3 linked regions of the Sus scrofa genome follow. The protein of the gene in region 1 interacts with the protein of each later gene in a pairwise test. Links are inferred from orthologs where the notes say so. Each region holds a gene or a part of one and is shown in the gene's direction. Other genes may lie near its edges.

What was found. The genes of interacting proteins can lie anywhere in the genome.
Region 2: the proteins of PPP3CA (region 1) and C6H16orf74 interact in binary tests that used the Homo sapiens proteins (3 or more experiments, as listed by UniProt). The two-hybrid records come from large-scale screens. The link is inferred for Sus scrofa from reciprocal best matches to the Homo sapiens genes PPP3CA and C16orf74.
Region 3: the proteins of PPP3CA (region 1) and AKAP5 interact in binary tests that used the Homo sapiens proteins (3 or more experiments, as listed by UniProt). The link is inferred for Sus scrofa from reciprocal best matches to the Homo sapiens genes PPP3CA and AKAP5.

Annotation. Positions count from the first base shown.
Region 1 is NC_010450.4:119,688,350-119,692,058, forward strand, and holds part of PPP3CA (serine/threonine-protein phosphatase 2B catalytic subunit alpha isoform), read left to right. Parts: intron 1-1,445; coding exon 1,446-1,585; intron 1,586-3,709. UniProt on the Homo sapiens protein: Calcium-dependent, calmodulin-stimulated protein phosphatase which plays an essential role in the transduction of intracellular Ca(2+)-mediated signals. Many of the substrates contain a PxIxIT motif and/or a LxVP motif.
Region 2 is NC_010448.4:3,155,846-3,160,109, forward strand, and holds the start of C6H16orf74 (uncharacterized protein C16orf74 homolog), read left to right. Parts: upstream 1-1,392; 5' UTR 1,393-3,649; intron 3,650-4,264.
Region 3 is NC_010449.5:88,537,631-88,541,809, forward strand, and holds the start of AKAP5 (A-kinase anchor protein 5), read left to right. Parts: upstream 1-1,307; 5' UTR 1,308-1,488; intron 1,489-1,494; exon of another isoform or gene 1,495-1,981; coding exon of another isoform or gene 1,982-2,015; exon of another isoform or gene 2,016-2,455; coding exon of another isoform or gene 2,456-2,531; intron 2,532-4,029; exon of another isoform or gene 4,030-4,179. UniProt on the Homo sapiens protein: Multivalent scaffold protein that anchors the cAMP-dependent protein kinase/PKA to cytoskeletal and/or organelle-associated proteins, targeting the signal carried by cAMP to specific intracellular effectors.

The DNA of each region.
Region 1 (3,709 bases):
GCTGCACCCACGGCATGTGTTGATTCCCAGGCAAGGGGTCGAATCAGAGCTATAACTGCCAGCCTACCCTACAACCCCAGCAGTGACAGATCTAAGCCGCATCTGCGACCTACACCACAGCTCATAGTAACGCCAGATCTTTAACCTACTGAGCGAGGCCAGGGATCAAACCCTCAACTTCATGGTTCCTAGTCGAATTCATTTCTGCTGCGTCACGATGGGAACTCCTAGAGGGTCTTGTCTTACTGAAGTTTTTCATTGAGTGTTGAAAATGTGAAATATTGCTTCATGCTTTTTAGATATTAGTTAAAAAAAAAAAAGGCATATAGCAGACTGTTACTTGTATCTTAACCTTTTATGTCTCAGAAAAAGATAGAATTTGATGGGCTGTCAGCCCTACATATTCACCTATCCCTATGAGGTTTTTTAAAATATTAAAGCATTGAATATAAAGAATATTAATTCTTAATATTCTTAAGGTTTTTATAGCTGTTTTATCCTTTTGGGTGGAGGGGAAGACTGCATAATATTTGCTAACTTCACTAAAGGTCCTTTAATTGCAACTGCATCAGGACAAACTATAGGAAGGTGACAGTGTTATAAACTTGGTGAAATGTCATTTTCAGTTATTATATTGGTCATAGCTTCTCAATGCACCATATTAAATTGAACTATGACTTTGCTACACATTTACAGCTGGAAAATTGGGAAATGGGTTTCCTATGAGAATTTCAGACGAAACTATAAAAAGCTTAGAACAGTGAGCTGAAGAATGACGCAGCTAAATTGGGGTTTAACTGCTTATCATTACGATTGGTTTGTACCCAGTAAGATATCTCCAGTCAGCTTGGCTTTTGATTAGAAACTTAGCCCCTAATGAATGCATATCCAAAATGTCATAGAGCCAGTAGCCACTTTTACAATGAAAGCCATCTGTTCTCAAAATTATGCTGTTAAATGGAAACACCCCAAGTTGTTCCTCATCCTCATTTCTAAATCCCAGTTTAACAGAGGCAGTAACAGAAATTGCCCCAAAGATAGAATAAAATAAAATCTTCTCCTCCAGGAGTGACACACAAATAGGGTCACATCACCTGGCAGTGACTAAAACACTTGACTAGATAAAATAAGAAAGAAGGAGAGAAGAGAGACGGAAAGGAAACCAGGAGAAAAGAGAAGGAAAGAGCAGGATTAAAGAGGCAGGCAGGAGGTTAAGGCTGAGATGAAGGCAGATCGCAGTAAATGAGCATCAGGAGGAAGAAGGAAGGAAAATTTGAGAGAGGAGAAGGGGGAGGAAGGTGAGCAGAACAGAAGGAGAGGTGGGGCCAGTCCACACTGCACTGGGGCTGGGGAGAGATGGTGGCTGTTGCAAAACATTGGTTTCTCCTGTTTTCTCCAAGTTTCCAAAGATTAGTATTTTGCTCTCTGTCTTTTATTTTTCTTAGTTAGACCGATTCAAGGAACCACCTGCTTATGGACCTATGTGTGACATCCTGTGGTCAGACCCCCTGGAGGATTTTGGAAATGAGAAGACTCAGGAACATTTCACTCACAACACAGTCAGGGGGTGTTCATACTTCTACAGGTGAGGACCGAAAGCTCCAGCTCGCCCTCTGGAGCACATGACCTTCATAACTGCTGTCATTGATCAGCCATCCGTATGTTTGATTTACTTACTACATGTGTATAACTTTACTAGGAAACAAGTATAAGCGAAAGACTTACTTTGAAAGCCTGGTTCAAATGGGTTCTTAGCCCTTGAAAATCAAAAATAAATGGATAGGTAAATAAATGAATGTATATCAGCATATAGAGCTAATATCTGTGAAAAATAGAAGAGTATAAAAGAGGCAAGTGGCTTCAGGATGGCAAGGCAGCTGGAGAAGTTGGTAGGATTTGGTAGAAAGATTGTTTTCTTTCCAGAACTGTAAGAAAAAAGTCTACTGCCCGCCTTGAATTTTCACTTAATTACATAATCACTTCAAAATATTTTTTACCAGTTTTCATAACTTAAAATAATTAAATTATTTTCAAGTGATTCTTAAATTTTCTTAAGCTCATCAGACTTCCTGAATAAATTTGAATTAGCAGCAACTCAATATATAGGTACCATAGTAAATTGATTTTTAGCGCTTGACAAGCCACATTGAGAAAAATTTTCTACTGATGTTTATACTTGCCGTTGTATGGAGATTTGCCCATCTCATAACATTTTAGAGCACTTCAGAAAGAATTCAGCAACACAGTTGGGTTTTTGCATGCCCTCACGATTTTCTCGACATCTCGGTCACCTCAATTTTAGCCTACTGCATTTCATTGCCCTCAGTTTCACTAGATTCCCTTATCAAACTTCAGTTTTATGGGAAAGTGGCCAGAGTGAAAGCGTGCAAGAGATTATGAAGGAGCATTTAAATTCTAGTACATATAGTCCTTTTATTTAACTTAAAAATCAAACCTGATGTTCACTGAAGTTTACATGAAATTCCTGCCCTGCAGCTAAGCTAATGGCCAGGCTGGAAGAACTCTACAAAAGATGCATCCAACCCAATATCTTTTGTCTCTAGGGTAAGCAGATATCATTCTCCTGCATAATACTGATCAGAGTTTATTCAGTGGTTGAATATTTTGTTCCAAATACATTGTTTCCCTTGTGAGGGAAAAGAGTTTCCTTTTATTCAGCTGTTGATATGATTGAGAAATTGAAGTTTGAGAACAGAAAGTCTTGAAAACTGTAAAGCATCATTCAAAGAATAGTTTTTGCTTTAAATATAAAGAAAGAGGTTTATTCTGAGTTTACTTAACCAGAAAGTTTGTGATTCATTTCTTTGTTTTAGAAATTTGGGCCAAGGAGGCATGTACACTATTTCTGAAAAGTCTAAGGTTTCTTTTCAGTTATTAGAGAATTGATGAATAATCTTTTATTGAAAATGTTCAAACTTTTAGTGAAGAGTAGTATTGTTGAAATATATCAAAGCCAGGTGTTCGGTTTTTCAGATCTGGTGCTAAATCCCTAATTATATCGTGGATGTTTCAATTACCTATTTGATACTGAGTCATGCTTCAATAATACAATATTAAAAAATACAAACCTCTTACTTTGACATTGAGCCACATTACATTAATCTTTCTTTAATTTGTAGTATAACATTTTTCTGTTCGTTTTCTGAGTGCGCTCTTCAAATGTATCCTATTCTAAATAAACTCCCTGAACTCATATAAAGGCAAGGTATTTTTGTTTTGTGAATATAGACAGAGATGTGTTTACATCAGAGATAAAGTCCATCAACTAGATAATTACAGGATTATGCATGTTTTCACACTTTTGTTCTCAACAAGATGATTATTTAACTCCTCTCATTAGAGGTTCTTAAGAGATAATGATCCTTAGCCATGACAAAAGCTGACTGTGGAAATCCACAGCCTATATACTCTAATGGCAAAGCAGTCTGGGTTATGTTTTATCTGAAGAAGAGAAAAATGACTTACACATTCTCCTGGAGCTTTTTGATTCTTTTGTCTTCAGTCTTGAAGGTGCTATCATCAAGGTGTCAAGGCTTCCTCTGGGGTCTTGGTTTATAGAGCTGATCTAGAGGGACGCAAAGACACAATAAGATTGGTAGAGGAACTTGGTGACAATGACCTCTTTGAGTTATTGGCAGTTATTTTGATCCACAACCCCCAGTTTTATTTCACATGTCTCTGTAGAGTT
Region 2 (4,264 bases), on another chromosome or scaffold:
TATGCCGTGGGTGCGGCCCTAAAAAAGACAAAAAAAAAAATTGACGTCCATTCTCTCGAGCCTCAAACCTGCTTTCTCAACGAATTTGACGTTGTATTGTGGCTCCGTCGTCGTGGTCGTGTCAGCGGTGTTCCCAGCCGCTGCACCAGGAGTAGATTCCATCTCAGGAAACAGTGGGCTCTGCTCGCTCCCAAGAGCGCCTCAGCCACTGAAGGTTTTGTCGTGAGATCGCAGCGCCTCAGTCCCATCTTCAGGCTCCACTTGCAGTTCTAGCTCTCTCGCTGTGTTCACATCTGCAGTGACCGCCGCCCCCAAAGTCTGAGCCCCTCAAAGGCATCAAGAGGGCTGCAATCAACGTCTTCCACATTCCTGTTTTTTCTTTTAGGGCTGCACCCGCAGCACATGGAGGTCCCCAGGCTACGGGTTGAATCAGAGCTGTAGCTTCCAGCCTACACCACAGTCACAGCAACGCCAGATCCGAGCCGTGTCTGACCTGCACCGTAGCTCACGGCAACACCGGATTCTTAACCCACTGAGCAAAGCCAGGTATCAAACCTGCATCCTCATGGATGCTAGTCAGTTTCGTTTATGCTGAGCCCTGCCGGGAACTCCCAAACTCCTCTTAATTTTAATATTCTGACCTTTTCCCCAGAGTCACAAATGTTCTTGATGGCATCTGGAAAGGTGAATTCTTTCCAGAAGGTTTTCAGTGTACTTTGCCCAGATTCATCAGAGGATCACTGTGGCAGCTATAACCTTAGGAAATGTGTTTCTTTTTTTTTTGTCTTTTTGCCTTTTCTAGAGCCGCTCCCACAGCACATGGAGGTTCCCAAGCTAGGGGTCTGATCAGAGCTGTAGCCGCCAGCCTGTGCCACAGCCACAGCAGTGTGGGATCTGAGCCGTGTCTGTGACCTACCCCACAGCTCACAGCAACGCCGGATCCTTAACCCACTGAGTGAGGCCAGGGATCAAACCCGCAACCTCTTGGTTCCTGGTCGGATTCGATCACCACTGAGCCATGACAGGAACTCCGAAATGTGTTTCGTAAATAGCAAGACTTCAAAGGCAGAGTGACTCCTCGACCCACAGGCTGCAGCGTGGCTGCTGTGTTAGCAGACGCTAAAGAAGTCTAACCCCAGCGCGCGTCTCCATCAGAGCTCTTGGGGGACCAGGCGAACAGTAATAATTTGAAAAGAATCTTTTTTCTGACTTTCAGGTCTCAACAGTGGGGTTAAAGTATTCAGTGGGGGAGTTCTCATTGTGGTGCAGCAGAAACGAATCTAGCCAGTATCCATGAGGTTGCGGGTTTCATCCGTGGCCTCACTTAGTGGGTCAGGGATCTGGCGTTGCCCTGAGCCGTGGCGTAGGTCACAGATGGGGCTCAGACCCTGAGTTGCTCTGGCTGTGCAACCCCTAGCCTGGCAACCTCCATATGCCACAGGTGCAAAAAAGCAAAAAAAAAAAAACAAAAAACAAAACACTCAGTAAACCGTGTTGTCAGCAGACGTGCCGTCATCCAGGCTTTGTTCCACGTCCAGAGCACAGGCCGAGTGGCTTTAGCGTCCTCCTGAAGGACACTGGGACATGTGAAATCGCCAACGAGCCCTGGCTTCACCTGAAAGTCACCAGCCGCATGAGCCCCCAGCAGAGTCGGCCTGGCCTCCGAAGCTTTGACGCCCGGCGCGGACGTCCCCCTCCAGCCCTCGAAGTCCTAGCTGGCGTCTCCTGACACCAGGAGGCTGTCTGGTGGCCCCTGAACATCTGTCCGCGTGGCCACCTTCCTGGGTGATCCGAGCTGCAGCTTCTCCCTCGGCTCGTGCCCCTCGCCGCGCGCTTCGGAGCTGTGGAGGCGGCCTCTGTGCTTCGGCCTCGTGACCCGGCCTCTGCGGGTGGGTGTCTGCTCATTGCCTCCTGCAGCTCCCTCGCCTGCGGCAGCCTCTGCAGAATCGGAGAGAGTGCGGGCCCTGCTCCGGTCGAGGCCTCGGCTTAGGGGCGTGTGGCTGCTCTCATCTTCTGTCCGGAGCAGCGCAGCCTTCTCCACGGCAGCAGGGAGGCTGTTTGGCGCGCTCCTCCCTTGGGTGCTCCCTGGATCCGTGCTTCCACTCCCTTCGAGAAGGCCGCCTTCCTCTCACGACTCAGATGCCCGTTTGGCACAACGGACTTCTGTCTCCGCTTCTGCACGAAGCTCGGTCTCGTCTGGTTTTTGATGGAAAGTGAGAGACACGCGACTCTCCCTTCCCTGGGAGCCCGGCGAGGCCGCTGCAGGCTTGTGGATTGGCCTCATTTCCACATCGCGTCTCAGGGAAGAGGGAGGCCCGAGGACGGGAGGGGGGGCTCGTGGCCAGTCACGGGGGCGGTCAGAGCGCACCTGGCCACAAGGTCACGGTCTCACATGCACACAGCTTGTGGTGTCCAAAGCAGTTAACCACACCCCCCTCAAAGCCCCGGTCACACCTCACCGTAACAAGTGACAGTAATGGAAAAGTTTGACATGTGAGATTGACCAAAATGTGACCCAAAGTGAGCAGATGCTTTTGGGGAAATGGTGCCAGTAGACGCTCAGCAGAGTTGCCACAAAGCTGCAGTTTTTTGAAAATGCAGTATCGGCAAAGTGCAACACCGTGAGCTCTGCCCCTGCTGGTGAGGGTCTCCGGGCCAGGCTGCCAGCCCCGCGCAGCACCTGGCAGTCAGGGAGCCTGCCCCACGCAGGACGCTCCCCAGAGATCCCCAAGGGCCCTGGCTGCAGGCTGAGTGCTGAGGGATGAGTGTGAAGTGTGTCGAGTGGACCCAGTTTCTCCACGGCACCCGGCTCAGTACCACAGAGGCGCTCTTTCCTCAGTGGGTGCTCTCAACAATTAATCTTCCTGTCGCCTGGGCAGTGCCTCCTCCCCGTGGTTGGATCCCAGCTGCCACTCCAGTCCCGCGGCTGCGGGCAGGCGCCTCTCGCGTCTGAAAAGTGAAGGTGGGGGTGCTTTGGCGACACCGTGCGCGCCGGCTCTCAGCACTGTGCGTCTGGGCTCCACTGAGCAGAGGTCTTACCTGCTGAGGTGTTCACAGTTCTAGAACACACTGCGGCCAGACTGACCCCCAGGGTCAAAGCACTGCCCGCCTTTGCTGAGAAAGATCTAAGTGCTTGTTCCCAGGGACCATTCAGTGGACGCTTGTTGAAAGAGGAAGTGAGCGGATCAAAGCGTTTCTTCTCGGAAACACCAGCAGCTTGTATTTCCTTCCCCCCTTGTTTACACCTGCCCCCTGCCCCCAGGGCGTCAGGGTGTCAGGCTCTGCAGGTTGCAGGTCCAGAACCACAGCCCGGCCTGGGAGGGACTGCCTGACCCCTCACAGGACCGGGCCGGGCGTGCAGCCCCTCCCTGCACAGAAGCTGCCTTCCTCCTCCTCCCCGCCCCGCGTCCTCACTCCTGTCCCCCGCCCCCAGCTTTAACGTGCTCTCGTCCTGTGACAACCCCAGTGTGTGTTCATGGTAGAAAGTCAGAAAGAAGCCAGGAGTCACTCCTGGTCGCCATCCTGCAGAAGACGAGGTGGAAAGCTGTCCCATCCGTCGGGATCTCCGAGGCCTCCCGTCCTGGATGCTGAGATGCAAAGAAGCGGGAAGCAGGCGTACATTTGAGGAGCTCACACCGTAAATTAAGAGGTAAAAGGCACAATTACCAGTAAAATATCAGAAAATGTGTGAAGATCTCTGGGCTCAGGCCTGAGAACTCAAATGCATCGAGATTCCTGGCCCAAAAGTCGATTTTTAGCAGGTGGATTCAGGCCACACTTAAAAAAAGCCCTGATCTCTGATGAAAATTCGTGCTTTCTAATGAATAATTGAAGATCCTCAGAAGGACGCGACTTACCCAGTGACCGCGTTCAGCCAGGGGCGGAGGACTGAGCCTGCTAATTCCGCAGGTCGCCAGCGCTGCGCCTCCAGAGGGTTCAGCCTCGCGGGATTCAGGTCTCCGGAGTGAACCTGCCTCGGCAGCAAGCGCTTTCGTTTTTTTTCTCTTTTAAAAGGTGTTCAGCGCAGGATGCGCAAAGGTGCTGTAAACAGTTGAGCAACAGGGAGCAGGCAGCTGAGGCCAGACCTGCAGCTTCTGAGCCGTCTCACAGCCCTGGACCGAGGACAGCAGGGCGAGGGCCTAGGAAGACCTGTCTGTTTATTATCTTAACTTTCGACAGTTGGGTCTCGAATCTCTTCATTCTTCCCACTTCTCTGAGGTGGCTCTGTAGCCAGAGCTCTCCAGGCAGCTGCCGCCCGTGCCCC
Region 3 (4,179 bases), on another chromosome or scaffold:
TCTTAATTATCTCTACTATAGGTGCTTAGGGATTTTCCTGTTTTATAGCGCTTGTCTCTAGGATCTTGACAGCTTAGATTCAGCTTTGCTATTGTGTAAATAGTTCTTTCCTTAATAAAGAATCTTACAAAGGTAAACTATATTCCTGGATAAGCATCCAAAAGTGGGTAAGAGCTTTACTCTCTCAAAGCTCATGGTCCTATTGAAGAAAAGAGATAAGTACAACTGCTTTTCATAGTTCTTCCCTCTGCCTTAATAGCTTCTTCATCTAGATAGTATGCTTGGGAGGGGCCAGAGGAGGAGGCAGGAATTGTGCATCCTGCAGGACCTCACCATAGAGGCTCCCAGGAATGCCCTTGTAGGTAATATTAAGCCCAAAGCAAGTCACCCTAAACTCTCACTGCAACACCTTTCATTGGTGCTAATCCACTATATACAGTGGATTATGTATACAAATCAATGCTTATGGTGCTTTTCACTATGACTGGGAACTTGCTTAGATAAAGACTCTCAAAATGTGTGAAAATAACACAGCCTAGCCAAACAGAGAGTGAATATTGCCAGTGCCCTTTGCTCTGGTCTGTACTAGAATTGTGAGGAAAGTCAACTCATGTTTTAAACCCCTAACCCTCACCCCGCGCTGTACTTGAGAGGGACAAGGTTAAGCAGACACCTAGGAATGTAAGGGAAACGGGTAACTTGTAATCGACTGAATCCTGGAAATATACAAGATGTAAAGGAGGGAGGGGGCTGTGTTTCTGTGCCCTTCTGACATCGATATCACACAGTTTGCATCATCTCTTCCTTCCTCCTAGATTCTTAGGAGACAAGGGTCTGTGTCTTGGGCCTCTGAGAACCTTTGGCAGGGAACCGTGATAAGTGCATTACACCCAAACCCATTCCTGGAAAAGTTTTATTTTCTCTATTCATATAGGTAATTTTTCTTTTCAAACGAGATTGACTCTGCACAGATCTGAATCCTACTTTTAAAATGTGATATCTGCTGTGACTTTAAATATTCAGTGGGGGGATTTATGATGTGAGTGCCCATAGTTTAAAATTGGATTTTGCTACTTTGCATCTGAGAAAATGGAAGGCTTACGACCTTGGTCCCCTCCCCATCTCTCTCGGTGGCCCCCGGCCCTTGCCTGGATGTGGTCGCGCCTAAAAGATTGCCGCCTGGCTGGGCGCGCGAAGGTCCCACGCCCGGGGCTGGGCTCACCCGCAGGTGGACCTCCTGTCCCCCCCCCGCCCCTCCCCCGGGCCACCGCCCCCGCCCCCAGCCCGGGCCCCGCCCCGCGCCCGCCTGCTCCACGCGCATTGGTGCCTCCAGCTGTCGGTCCCCGCGCTCTGGGGAGGGGGCGTCGCCCGGCTGCGGTCCCTCTGCAGAGGGTTGCTCGCTCCCGGTGCGCCGCTGCCTTCCCGCCGGCCCCGCGGGCGCCCCCGCGACCTCCGCGGCAGCGTTGTCCAGGGACCCCGGCGCCCTCGGTAAGTGAAGCGGGCGATGAGGCTGTGAGGAAAGAGGGCGCGGGGCCGGTGTCCGGTCCGCCGACCGCCCGCGTGGCGGAGTGGGCGGGAGGTGCCCGCTGGCCACCGGGAATCTGGGGCCCCGAAGGTGGCCGGGGTAACAACGGGGGAAGGTGTTTGTCCGCAGACATCTCCACTCAGTACGACCCTCATCACTCTGCCCACCTGCCCTCCCCGCGTTTGAGTTGTCCTGGGGGCTTGTGTAGCTGGTAGCTTTTTTCCTTCCTTGCCCTTTTCGGGGCGAATGCGGTGTGGGCTTCCTGGCCATTATAATTGTACATTTAGCTTGAAGCTGGATTAGCTGTTCCCCGCCCCAGCACTTTCCTTTTTGAGTACTTTATCCTGCGCTCTAGCTCCTGCCATAAGGCGCGTCAAGCCGAATGAGAGATGCCTTCCTCCTGAAGGAAGCTTCGTGTGGCCCACACCTGGCGCGGGGAGAGATGCACCGCTTTTCTCAGGAAGTGGCTGCTCTTTGCCTCCGTGCTTCTCTGCTCACGGGAAAAGGGCAAGGGGTATTTTCAGTGGCAGCAGACTTGCGATTCTATCAGGAAATTACAGCTTCCTGGAGCAATAAAACTACTTCTGCAGGTTAAGGACGAATCATTTGCAGTCTAATGTTCCGCAAAGTTTTAATAGCCACAGACTGCATTCTCCCCCTTTCAGTTAGGTTTTGTTTGGATATCTGTTGTAGTTCTACATCTTGGTATACATTCCAGTGAGCTTCTCAAGCAATTGTCCTTGAGCAATCCAAGTTAGTTTCAAATGACACATTCCTAAATGATCTAATATCAGCATTTCTATTAGGTATACATCCCTCCGGTTAATAAAAAAACACTCAGGTGGGAGGATTCATAAGAGGTGCGGAGACAAAGAGCTATAATTAGCTGTGGTTCTAGTGTATCATGTTTAGAGGGACACTGTTAAATGTTCATATTTTAGTTCCATCATGGTTGTAGGATGGCTTTGTCTTTCTGTCGGAGGCAATGGAGTATGTATCACCCGACCTAAGGGAATATTTGCTTACATCATGAACTGATATTCAGAGTTCCAATTCCTTCTGTGGTTCATGGAATCAGGAGTTGCCCAAATAAACCTTCAACAGTGAAGGATTTACATTTTTTTAAAAGTACAAAGAAAGATTCCCTTTGCTTATCTTCAGACATCCATAAACTAAAATCCACAGGATTTCTGTTAGGTGGTCACCTCCTTTCTCTGTTCTCTGGTACTATCATACCATCTTGTGGATTAACTTTAAAATATACCTTTATGTTTATGTATAATCAGTTTGTCAGTTGCACAACTTATCTATTTATTTTTGGCTTTTAGATTAGTTCCAGAACCAAGAAAATATAAAGAATTTCAAAAGCTTGATTTTAAAATGGCAAGAACTCAGTCTACTCTTGCTTCAGCTATGAGTTGATGGGCTGCATCCTGGTTACATGACCACTGAACAATCTTTAAATTTTCGGGCTAGTGAGTTTGGTGCAGATTAGCATCTCCAAAAACGTCATTTTTTTCTGATGAAAATCCTAAAGCCCAGTTTCAGGGGATGGGCTTCAGAAACAAGCAATTTTGGGTTGAATCTGAGCTCTGTTATTGACTAGCTCATCTAGAGCAAATTAACCTCGCTCTGGGCCTCAATTTCTTCATCTGTAGATGGTGATACCACCACCTACTCTATAATGTGGGAGGATTAGAGATGTGTGTAAAAGGGCTTAGCACTTCCTAATACACAGGAGTTGCTCAACAAATGTCAACTACTGTTATCATTCACTCTGATCTTCAGTTACGTGCTCGTTATGGAAAATGTTTAAACAGCAGATACTTAGGAAAAAAATGTCAAAGTTATACAAACAAATTTAAGAGTGGAGAATGACAGTAATGTTAAATTTCCCAAGAGCATGTATGAAAAGTAGCACCTCCTTCATGGAATATACATTTTTAGAACAGAAACCTTATGGTATAATGGAAAGAACATCAGAGAGTTAAAGTCTTCAGTTCTAACTCTGGCTATGACCTCATCTAACTGTGTGGCTTTTAGCGGGCCAGCTGCCCACTTTGGAGCTCAGTTTCTTCATCTGGCTGGATCTGAATAATCTCAAATGATCTCTAAGATCCTTTGCAACTTCAGAACTCCTTATTGGATGTAATAAAATTTAGCTTGCCCAGCACCCTGCCCTTTATTGTTTTTTGGTGGTGGTAGTGGTGGTTTTTGTCAACTTTCGATTCAGAGTCATAAACAGTTCATAAAGACAGCACAACTACAGAATTGATAAAATAATATCAGATTTGCAGAGTAATCCAAAATGAAGTTTTAACAAAGAGAGCAAAATAAATTCATGCTGAAATCTTTTTGGATAGGGCAAAAGTAAACCCCAATTTTTATTCTCCGGTCATTTTGGTAAGTTATTATATGGGAAACATGCCTGGTAGAATCATAGTCTCTACAGAAAACAGCAGGCTGATGGTGAAATAAAATACCACTCTGTTTTCTCTTGTCAGGTTGATCGTTAAATAAAGCAAAAATATATCCAGTAAAAGGGCTTTCATGAAGAAATTAAAGACAGAAATTACAAGTAATAGAGAAACTAGGTATTTGTATAACTGGAGAAACCACCTAAAATAACCATGGAGTAAGACAAAAGGAGTGAC